Danio rerio: one gene and its partner. The main gene of each other region encodes a partner of the protein of the gene in region 2 in a complex. Links are inferred from orthologs where the notes say so. Each region holds a gene or a part of one and is shown on either strand. Other genes may lie near its edges.

What was found. The genes of interacting proteins can lie anywhere in the genome.
Region 1: the proteins of egln1a (region 2) and hif1ab are in contact, whole or in part, in a crystal structure (PDB 3HQR), measured with the Homo sapiens proteins. The link is inferred for Danio rerio from reciprocal best matches to the Homo sapiens genes EGLN1 and HIF1A. Residues at the interface, in NP_071334.1 of Homo sapiens: Gln239, Leu240, Val241, Ser242, Gln243, Lys244, Ile251, Arg252, Trp258, Lys262, Asp277, Ile280, Arg281, Ile292, Asn293, Gly294, Arg295, Thr296, Lys297, Tyr310, Val311, Arg312, His313, Val314, Asp315, Pro317, Asn318, Asp320, Arg322, Arg370; in NP_001521.1 of Homo sapiens: Leu559, Glu560, Met561, Leu562, Ala563, Pro564, Tyr565, Ile566, Pro567, Met568, Asp570, Asp571, Phe572, Gln573, Leu574.

The regions. Positions count from the first base shown.
Region 1 is NC_133195.1:22,893,699-22,899,764, forward strand, and holds the start of hif1ab (hypoxia inducible factor 1 subunit alpha b), read right to left. Parts: upstream 4,169-6,066; 5' UTR 3,781-4,168; coding exon 3,749-3,780; intron 1-3,748.
Region 2 is NC_133188.1:53,017,714-53,023,225, forward strand, and holds part of egln1a (egl nine homolog 1), read left to right. Parts: intron 1-1,239; coding exon 1,240-1,359; intron 1,360-5,512. UniProt on the Homo sapiens protein: Cellular oxygen sensor that catalyzes, under normoxic conditions, the post-translational formation of 4-hydroxyproline in hypoxia-inducible factor (HIF) alpha proteins.

The DNA of each region.
Region 1 (6,066 bases), on a different chromosome or scaffold from region 2:
TTACACTGCGATGCAAAAACCATGCCAGTCCGCTTCCAAAAAAAGAAAAATCTGACAGAAATGGTATTGTCAGCTATGACTAATAAATTAGTAAATTTATCTAATTAGTCTAGACCTAATACATAGCATGTAACTGCATGACATTGTTTTAGCAAGTTTTTTAGGCTTAATATGAAAAAAAGTAGTTTGTCTATTCAGATCCCCAAAAGAATTATGTTGACATGTCATGTAAAAGCTTTAACCAGATTTCTTTAATGGGTTAAAAGGTCACAAAAAGTTCAAACAATATCAGGTAGTTTTAAAGGTCTTTTTCTGTGTTCATATAGTTTATTCATGTGCACAGGTCCGATTGTGCATGTGAAATACGTCACACATGGATTTCTTTCCAACCGTGATCTGTGAATTTCATCAAGACTAACTGCTCACCAGTCTACACTGCCGACACGCATCCAGCTTGAGCACCAGACATGTAAGGGGCAGCGCAGCAGTAATGTTTTATACACTACGGCCCTTTCTTGTTTTAATAAAGCATTAAAAAATGTCGAAAAATTAATAAAATGCACAAAAGCAGGCACATAAATCTAAATCGGTGCTTAGCCAAACAAAAAGTGCAAAAATATTTATAAAAGCAGCAGCACCAAAGCTCTAAAAATATACATTTATCACTAAAAAGGCCATCACAAAGTGTACAATGTTTCAAGCACACACTACACAAAATGTCTGAGGAAAAGCCGGTGTGCTCAAAACATCTATTTTTGGAGTTTTGGTTTTGCAGCCTTTATAAATATTTTTAATAAAGCATGAAATTGTGTCATTGACTCACGCATGTGGTTAATGCATCAAAACTTTAAAAAAGTGATAACATACAAAGCACAGCTTCTGTTCTGACAGATTTCCAGTTGACATTTTTGAGCTTCTGATGTTATTTATCTGTGACTTCACTTCAGTGAGAAATTTGCCTCACAATCTCATTACCACTGCACAATAATGGAAAAGAATATTGCGATATTTTATTTTTTTGCTATAAATATAGCGATATGAATACCAATTCACAATATAGTTTGAATAGCACTATCTGATAGTTTTAAGGGGAGTCTAACAGTATGCAGGTACAGAAATTGAAGCAAGTAACAATATTGTTTTGTTTTCACAGACAAGTCACAATTAAAAAGATTTTCTTTAAAACAAGCTAAATTATCTGCCACTTTGGTAAATGAAATAATCTGGTTTTCACTTTGAAATGTAGATACTTGGACTAGAAACAAGATAAAAATTGTAACTAAGACTTTTTTTTGCATAATCATATAAATTCTGTACAAATACAGCGAAATACTGCTCAACATTGCATCTCGTTGCTATTTGACTATTGTGGACCTGCACATTGCAATATCGATGCTAAAACGATATTGTGCAGCCCTAAATCTCAAGTAAATGCAGTTTTCTGATAAACAGGTATTAATTTGAATGTAAATACATTTTTTAAATTTTTTTATAGATTTCTGCTTATTTTGTGCATGTAAACAGAGACTCAATTTTTTGTCCTTTTGGTTTTAGTTAAAACCATGTAAATGACCCCTTAGTAACATTTAAAGCATTGGTGCATTTAATTTTTTTTTTTTTCTTTTATCATTTGAGCTTTTGTTGTCAACACACATGTATTACATTTTAAAACAGCTCGACAATGTAAAGCTGTGCTTGCATATCTAAAGTCTCAAGCTTTTTAATGCTTACATCACTACATAATAACTACATAATGATATATTATGTGATTTAAAGGCCACTAAAAACACCTTGTTGAATATTTCTCAGCAAACTAAAACTTAAGTGTGAATGGTAGTTAGTTCTAAGACATGATTTCCAGTCCAACTAATTGGATTTCTATGGATCACAAGTTAGACCTTGACAGGTGACACACAGAAACAGAATCAATAGGCACCCCATTAACCCAAGGTTTATAACACCACTATCAACATTTAAACTAATTTCAGCATTTACACTGACAAAAGTCTTGCAGCTGTCTTGCCACAAGACTGGGCAGGAAGTTGCTTTGACGTCAATGCAGAGAGTGATTAAGATTTTAGAGAAGAGATACAAAAGCATGTTGCTGCTTGAACTTGGATGCCAACAAAAATAGCGTCAGAAGATAATATTCCCCCAAAAACAGTGTCGAATCAAGAAAACTGTGCTGTCAAGGCAAGAAGATTTTTGCTTGTTAAAAATCTGGACTCAACAATTCACCAAAAATTACAAGAAAACTTATTTCAACTTAATATTTTACAGACTATAAGTCAATTAACACAAGTACACTGCAACTTTTAATAATAAAAATAACTTTTTTTTACTTTTTAAACAAAAAATATATGGACAAGCTCATTCGAGTGCTTTCCCAAATCTCAAACAGTGGATCACAAGATAGCAAGATCACTGGTTATCTAGCAAAATTAACATGCATAAATTTCAAAGCTGAACATGTTTCTTAGGGAGAAAATAGATAAATCTGCCAAATGTATAAATGTAAATCCCCTCAGAAGGCAGGATTGATACTATGAAAACATACATCCAAAAAGGTTTTTAATCTTAGTCTTTGCAACTGGCTCTAAAAACCAAACATGGAAAATCATAGCCCTATTTGTTAGTAAAGATTTTGTTAACAGCTTTTTTTTTTTTATGAAGCAAAGCACAAATAATTAAAACATACACAATAAGAAAAATCTCAAGATAATACCTCCTGTTCATCAACCTGAGTCTGACTTTCTTCCAATCCAAAATGACACACTAGATCTGAGCTTTAACATGGCTATGTCAGTATTATCCCTTTTGTAATTGCACTCGTACAGAGAAATCCAAGCAACGTTTTCCAGCATTAGTAATAACAACATTTATTTCCATCTGCTCTCATTTGAGCCCACACTGATGACAGGCTTGACAAAGAAGAAGACTGTCAGCAAAATCCAAGGATGGATTCCTGCTTCCAATCCTTTATCCACAAATATGCCAGACTGGCTGGCCGAAGAAGGGCAACGGGTTGATCTGACATGTAGGGTCAAGGAGTATGAGGGGTAAAGAATCGATCAATCATATTACTAAACCAATCCATTTCTCACATAACTCTCAAAAAAACTGTATCAAACGTTTTGATACATTTGATTCAGGTACAAAATACACAATTAATATCCACTGGCCAGGCAACTAGCATATGCCATTTAATTCCTCCTCTATTATACAGACGTACAGCTGTCTGGCCAATGCACTATGGAAAAAGAGCCTTCTGTATTCTGTATGCATTAAATATAAGAATTAATTTGACATGTATGCTCAAAGCTGTATATTCCTATTTAAACAGTGTGTTAATACACTCCCCTAGGGACTAAATATGTCTAAACTGTATAAACTGTTTAAAGAGGTATACGCAATAAATCAGGGGAAGTTGCATGTTGCTAGTTTGTTAGCTTCTATCCACAAGCAGACACTTACGTTAGACATTATGCTACCTCAAATAAAGACAAATAATACGTCACAGAGCAACAAATATAATTTCTTGAATTGTTTATAACAACCTTTAATGTCCGTTTAAAGACAATTGTGGGGAAAGAGAGCTTTAAACCTGTTCTCAGTTGTTTGGTTAGCAATACAGCACAAAATGGCGACACGTTCAGTGTGACGGGAGATGAAGATATTCCGGCCCGTTTACTACACAAAACACTACGCAACATATCGCTTTCTTCCAAGCAAAAACGGGAATCCCTACCTTTTCTTTTCAGTGACAACTCCAGTATCCATTCCTGGGTGAAACCACTCAGTATGTGTTAGGTTTTCTCCGAACCGCGAGGCCAGAAAATCAAGGACGTGGCCACCTTTTGCTAACAAATAAAAACGCGTTTATTAAAGAAAACGGCCAGACGCGAACTAATAATCCGGGTCAGGTCTCGTGTGGTATGTTGAAAGTGTCAGAATGGTAAAGATCAACCCTCCGGTTCGCTGAAGGTCAAATCATTTGTTTGGCACCGGTCGGTGCAGCTTCTGGTCGGTACAAAGAGTTAAACCGTGCCTGCGCTCTGACTACTCTCACTGTGCCTCGCGCGCTCACGAGGCTCTGACGGGAGCGAGCGCATTCAGACAGCGGTGTCGCACTTCGAAACCCATCACAAAACTGATGGCACACCAGTCCACCAGCAGGCCAATCGACCTCCGTATGGCGTAATCAACACCATTGATTTGACTTTGTCGTAAATTAAAATTACGTCCGTGTCCGGTAAACCATCCCTCAAGTTTATCAATAGTTCCACAATAATATTGTCTATATTTAGCAAGTCATTTTTGAAAACAAAAATAGTTTGTAACTGAAGACAATTGGCCTAGTTTTCAAAATAATTGTGCTAATCTGCAACCAGAACACCTAACTAAAAAAACTTCAACTAACAAGCATTTTTATTGCAATAACAGGAAATTACAATGAAAATACAGTAGAATAAGTACAAAACAAAAAACTGCAAATATTACTTTTTGCATAAAAAGTAAGTTATATTTTTAAAGAAGTAGCCTATTGCACTGGTATGGCATAGAAAAAAATGTGACAAAGAAAAAAAGACAATAAAATAATGAAATTTAACTACCAAACATCCAGAACACCCTGGAAACAATTAGAAACCACCAGCAACCAGGCTTAAATAATCTAGCAGCCATTTAACAACTCTGGCATGATCTGTTTAACCATACCATAGAAACCATCCAGACAGATTGTATTCACAAACCTGTAAAAGCTCGATAAGTAAAACAACACTTTAAAAACTAATAGTTAAAACGTTAAGCCAAAATTTAAAAAGGCTTTCAATGAATCTTTTAGTTTGTGTTTGAACTGTTTTATAAAAAATCACTTGCAGGGTACATTTACACAGTGCACAAAAAAAGTCAAATAAATTAGAGCAAAAACGCAGAGCAAGGCTACATATAGTCAGGGCATAATAGCAAGAAAAAAAGTAAAATGCAGTGGATGTCTTTAATTTCTTTTCCAACAAATTAATTTAAAAAAAAGTAAATTTACCACAACCTGCGATAAAGCAAATAAATACCTAGATATTATTTTGTTTTGTTTTTTTGGATTCATCATTGAAGTATTCATTCATATTCGCCACAGCAGAATGAACCACCACTATTCCAACTTTTGTTTTACGCAGCGGATGCTCTTCCAGCCACAGCCCAGTACTGGGAAACACCCATACACTTTCACATTCACACACGCACACATACACTATGGCCAATTTAGTTCATCCAATTCACCTATACCGCATGTTTTTGGACTGTGAGGGAAACTCACGCGAACACAGTGAGAACATGCACACTCCACACAGAAATGCTCATTCAGCCAGGATTTGAGTCAGCAACCTTCTTGCTGTGAGGCAGCAGGGCTAATCATTGCAGCAACATTATTTGATACAAATTTTCAAAGGTTGCATTTTCAGAGTCCCAAAAACAACATTTTTGGGTAAAGGAATAACTAAAACACATAATTAATGAAAGTTTTTTCACATTCAAATGATCCAAATGCCAAATCATTTTCCAAATTGTCAGGAAATTATTTCCCCTCCTTCTGATGAGCAATAAAACATTGACAGTAAATCAGAATCGGCCAACTCAAGCTTGTAAAATATAACATTATTGTCCACTTGTGCAAATGTTATATCCCCTGGTAGCAAAGAATTCTGGCCCAGATTTGACATAAAGCTGGCACAGCAGGTGTTCGTCCGGCTCTGGTATACAGCATGTGGGCCAAACATGGCCCAGGTTTGGCAGAGGTGGCACCATCTTTAAGGCAGCACACAAGACTTGGGGCAGATATAAAATGTAGAATTTGGATCAGATGTTAAAACAATTTAACGTGGGCCACGTAAGTTTGGCGTATTATGACCCACTTTTAAATTACATTTAAATTATTTTTGAGTAAAGAAAAAATCGACCAATCAGGTCGCTTTCTGACACACCCATTGCACACCTAAAGCGAAATGCTTCATGGGTTTATCAAATTCATTGCACTTGTGACACACCAACATATCTGACCCAGTTCAGGCC
Region 2 (5,512 bases):
TGAAGTATCTCATTATTTACAAACCATTTGTATTTAAGAGTAGTTGAGGGTTTTTAGGATCATTCAGAATGAGTTAGTAAAGGATTAATAAACTATTAAAATCAACGTTTATATGTCTTATTATTCAGGCATATATTAATGGTTACTATATATGTTAATAAATGCTTTATTAACTCAACTTCATCTAGTTTTGTGACCTAATCTAAAGTGAGGACTATTCATGCTTTATAAATCCTTTATAAATGACAAATAAAGGCTCAGTTAAATTCTAAACAAAAAGAATGACATTATTCATTCCTATTCATTTATTCGTCCTTCATAATGTCCTATTCGTTCATTTTAAATAAAAAATAAGTCTTTGCAACCTAATCTAAAATAAAATCACTGTAAAGTTTAAACATTGCATCTTATTATATTGTTAAATTACTATATTGTTGTTGTTGTTGTTGTTTTATCCAGTTGGATGTCGTATTTTGACACTCCTGTAATTCAGCAATGTTTAAACTTGATCAAAATTGTACTTTTTAGAAAAGATTGCAAAGATGTTTTGTTTATTTGATTCTGAGCCTTTATTTGTCATTTATAAGGGATTTATAAAGCATGAACAGTCCTCACTTTAGATTAGATCACAAAACTGCATGAAGTTGAGTTATTAAAACATTTATTAACATATTAGTTAACTATTAATATATGCCTGATTAATAAGATATATAAATGTTGATTTCAATAGTTTATTAATCATTTACTAACTCATTCTGAATCATCCTAAAACCATCAACTCCAAATGGTTTGTAAATAATGCAATACTTAATTTAGTAATGAAAAATAAATCATTAACTAAGTATGAAAATACGATTATTAAACACATTTTAAATATGTTTGTAAGTCAAGAATAGAGCATTTGTAGCTACAGTTATAAGCTGCTTACTAACGCTTATTAATGTAGAGTTTATGCTTAACAGATAATGAGTTCACTAGATGCTAATGCTTAATAAATGATTTATAGTGTGTAGTTATTATAAAGTGTTACCTATTTTTTTTTCTGCTGTTAAACACTGCAAAAAGTCAACAGGAGGGTTAAAACAGACGTCCTTTGGGAACATCATTTTGAAGTTGGATAAAGGGTTATACATTTACAATATTTCCCAAGAATATTGTAATATATTTAAAATCGCATCATGACACAAGTGATAATATCAACCCTGCTGACCTGTGAGTGTTTTCTGTGTTTTCTGGCAGGCGATGGTGGCGTGTTATCCGGGTAAAGGCACGGGTTATGTGCGCCATGTGGACAACCCGAATGGCGATGGGAGATGCGTCACGTGCATTTATTATCTTAATAAGAATTGGGATGCCAAGGTATGCAAGAAATCACAGATGTTATTTAATCCTCAAAGCTTCGACCTGAAAAATTTTGTTATTAAAAGGGACTCTCAAAATACACATTTGTTTACGTTTTTTTTTCTTCTATTATTATCATTTAGTTTGCCTAATTATCCTAATTAGCCTAGTTAAGCCTTTAAATGTCACTGTAAGCTGAATACTAGTATCTTGAAGAATATTTAGTCAAATATTATGTGCTTCCATCATGAAAAGACAAAGGAAATTAGTTATTAAAACTAATGCTAAAAATTAATACGTTAACAGTGTTATAAATTCAGATGTCTTTATTTAATTTCATTCATTTATTTTCCTTCAGCTTAGTCCCTTATTTATCAGTGGAATGAACCACCAACTAATCCAGTGTATGTTTTACACAACATATGCCCTTCCAGCAGCAACCCTGAACTGGAAAACACCTATACACTTTCACATTCACACACACACACACACACTCGTACACTACGGACAATTTAGTTTATTTAATAAATAAACTAAGGAGGAAACCCACGCCAACACGGGGAGAACATGCAAACTCCACACAGAAATCCCAACTGGTCCAGCCAGGACTTGAACCAGCGACTTTCTTGCTGTGAGGCGACTGTGCTAACCACTGAGCCACTGCCCAATTTCATTCATTCCAATGAAGTAAAAAAAAAGGTTTCTGAAAAAGTCTAAAAACAGAGGTCAATTATTTTTACAGCAGAACTCTTCATGTTTTGATTTCATACAATAATATACTTACACAAATCAAGTTTCTTATGTTATGCTTTGATTATATATGGAATCAAATATGGAAAATATTGTATATGGCATCGACTAAAACTGGAGTTTTGTTTAGTAATGTAACACTCACCGGCCACTTTAATAGGTACACCTGTCCAGCTGCTCGTTAATACGAATTTCTAATCAGCCAATCACATGGCAGCAACTCAATGCATTTAGGCATGTAGACATGGTCAAGACAATCTGCTGCACCAACACCATGAAAGCATGAATCCATCCTGCCTTGTATCAGCGGTTCAGGCTGGTGTATTGTTGCTGACCATGTCCACCACAGTGTACCCATCTTCTGATGGCTACTTCCAGCAGAATAACGCACCATAAAGCGTGAATCATCTCAGACTGGTTTCTTGAACATGACAATAAGTTCACTGTACTCAAATGGCCTCCACAGTCACCAGAACTCAATCCAATAATAGAGCAACCTTTGGGATGTGGTGGAACAGGAGATTGGCATCATGGATGTGCAGCCGACAAATCTGCAGCAACTGCGTGATGCTATCATGTCAATATGGAGCAAAATCTCTGAGGAATATTTCCAGTACCTTGCTGAATCTATGCCACAAATGATTAAGGAAGTTTTAAAGGAATAAGGGGTCCGACTGGGTACTGGTAAGGTGTACCTAATAAAGTGGCCGGTGAGAGAATATTTGTATATATAGTATTTTAAATGTACAAAAAATAAATAAATAAATAATAATAATAAATACACACACACACACACACACACACACACACACACACACACACACACACACACACAAGAATAAACCAATATTGTGCATCAGTACAGTACCATTTATTTGCAATTCATTCATTTATTTTTTTTTCGGGCGCCACAGCGGAATGAACCGCTAACTTATCCAGCAAGTTTTTACGCAGCGGATGACCTTCCAGCCGCAACCCATCACTGGGAAACATAAATACACACTCATTCACTCTCATACACTATGGACAATTTAGCCTACCCAATTCACCTGTACCACATCTTTGGACTTGTGGAGGAAACCCACGCGAACGCAGGGAGAACTTGCAAACTCCACACAGAAATGCAAACTGACCCAGCCGAGGCTCGAACCAGCGGCCTTCTTGCTGTGAGGCGACAGCACTACATGCTGCTCCACCGCATCGCCTATTTACAATTAATTTTGAAAACCAAACAAACATCTTGATTGTTTTATAAAATACCAGTTTGATCACACTCTAGATTTTAAATGTTGAAAAAAAAAAAGTTGAAAAAGTCTCAATGTTTGCTCAATGTTCTGAAGTTCTGACTGAAAGATGTTGTTGGCATTTTTAAAGCATGCTGTTTTCTGAGACGGTCATGAATGGCTTCTGCATACGTGCCGGTCGTGCTTCATTTCAGTCTAATCCCATTAACCTCTGAGATTGTAATCTCCAGAGAAAACCAGCAGGAGAGTTACTGAAACAGCTTAGAGAGTCATAAAAATGGAGCACGAGACTCAGTCAGAGGCAGAGACCATCAGTCATGTGATTAATGCACTAATACTGTAAAACCATTCACAGATTCTTCATGTGTTTCTTTACTCTCTGATTGCATTATAGTTTTATTTCATGCCTAGTATCTACACTGTAAAAAATGCTGGGTTCGACACAATTCCTTCATGTTGTCCCAACACAAATTTATTAAGTTAAATTAGTAATTTTTTTACAAATTAAGTGGATTCAGAAACAAAGTTAGATTAGTATTGTTCGTAACTCATTTTAAATAAGTAGTTTGAACAAGCAGCAAAAGTAATTTGTGAATGTGTAAATAATGCTGGGTTGTAGTCGAATATGGACAAACCCAACATTGGGTTGATTTTTTATTATTGGGTAAATCTAACTTTAACACTTTATAGTTTTTTTTCTAAAAATCTACTCTCAAAAAATATTTATTTGCTTTTACAAACAACTTTTAAAATGTTTTTACAATTTAAAACGAGCTGTAACAACACAATTCTTGAGATTTCATTGGGACAACTTGAATGTTTTATGTTCAATCCGCATAAAGTGTTATGCTGTGTTCACACCAGACGCGGTAGGAGCGTCAAGCGTGAGTGATTTAACTGTTAAACGTGCAATTAGACATCCTGTGGCGCGGTACGCGCAAATGACGCAAATTGCGCGGCACGAATGTCGCGATATGCGCGAATGACGCAGCGCGAATTGAACGTTTTGCGCAAATCGCTCGAGTTCAAAAATCTGAACTTCAGCAGACATTCGTGCCGCTTTAACCAATCATGAGCTTGCTCTTGTGGGGGCGTGATTGTGACATATTGACTGTTGTTGGTGTCCCGAGGTAAATCCTTCAGCCGACACCGACAACAGTGCATCAAACTGGGCTCGGCTCAGTCAGGAGCACCGCTGAAAGCCTCATCCAGCCGTCATCCAAGTTCAGTTTCTGGAGGAGTTTATGAGCTCAGCTGGATGCACCTCTGAAAGAATCTATTGGACTCAGACACAGCCCTAAACATATCGACACTGTTTTTCAGCCTTCATAAAACACATAAACACTGTTATTTTCTTAATAAAATCCATGTTAGCCATTTAGCAACAAAGCTAGAGTCACCGGGCAGACAGAAGCCCTGCCCATCACGCGAATCCGCGTCTGTTCTGAAGTGAATTTAACGCGCGAAAGAAGCAGGGTTTGACGCGCGAATATAGCGAGTAAACTCAAATGTTCACGCGACGATTTATCCGCGCGTTCCTCGTCTGGTGTGAACACAGCATTGTTGACTTAATGGATTTGGGTTTAGACAACATGAATGAATTGTGTGAAACCCAGCATTTTTTAATGCTTAAAAAGATTTTGTAGTATTAAAAAGATGTTTGAGGAAAAGCTGATGACATCAGAACGTTTTTATTTTCTCTCAAAAGGCAATGCAAATAAAGGTAAATGCTGGGTTGTGGACACCGAACGTTGAGTCAATTATAAACAAACTCAATGCTTAGAGTGTACCATATTTATAGAGAGGATCTCTCCCTCATTTGCATAAACAGCACTGAGTGAGAAGCAGCGTCATATTGGGCTGATATAAACACACCCAGTCCTTTTTTTTCAATTTAACAACATAAAAACGGTGGACCAATTGGAGTGGTTTTGAGACCGACCACAACTTGACGTAGGAGTGCGGTCCCCCCGCCCACTAAAATTGACTGACAGGCACGCATTACCATATCCTCAGTTTGTTGTTTCACGTCCACCAAAGAAACACCCTTGCTCTATTTTTGGATACACAATGAATGCAACATATTGAGATTCAGGCTATTAAAAACAGCTAATCCACCAAGTCTTTCAGCACTCTCTCCGAAAACACTCGATTGATCTCGACTGGCGGATCAACAT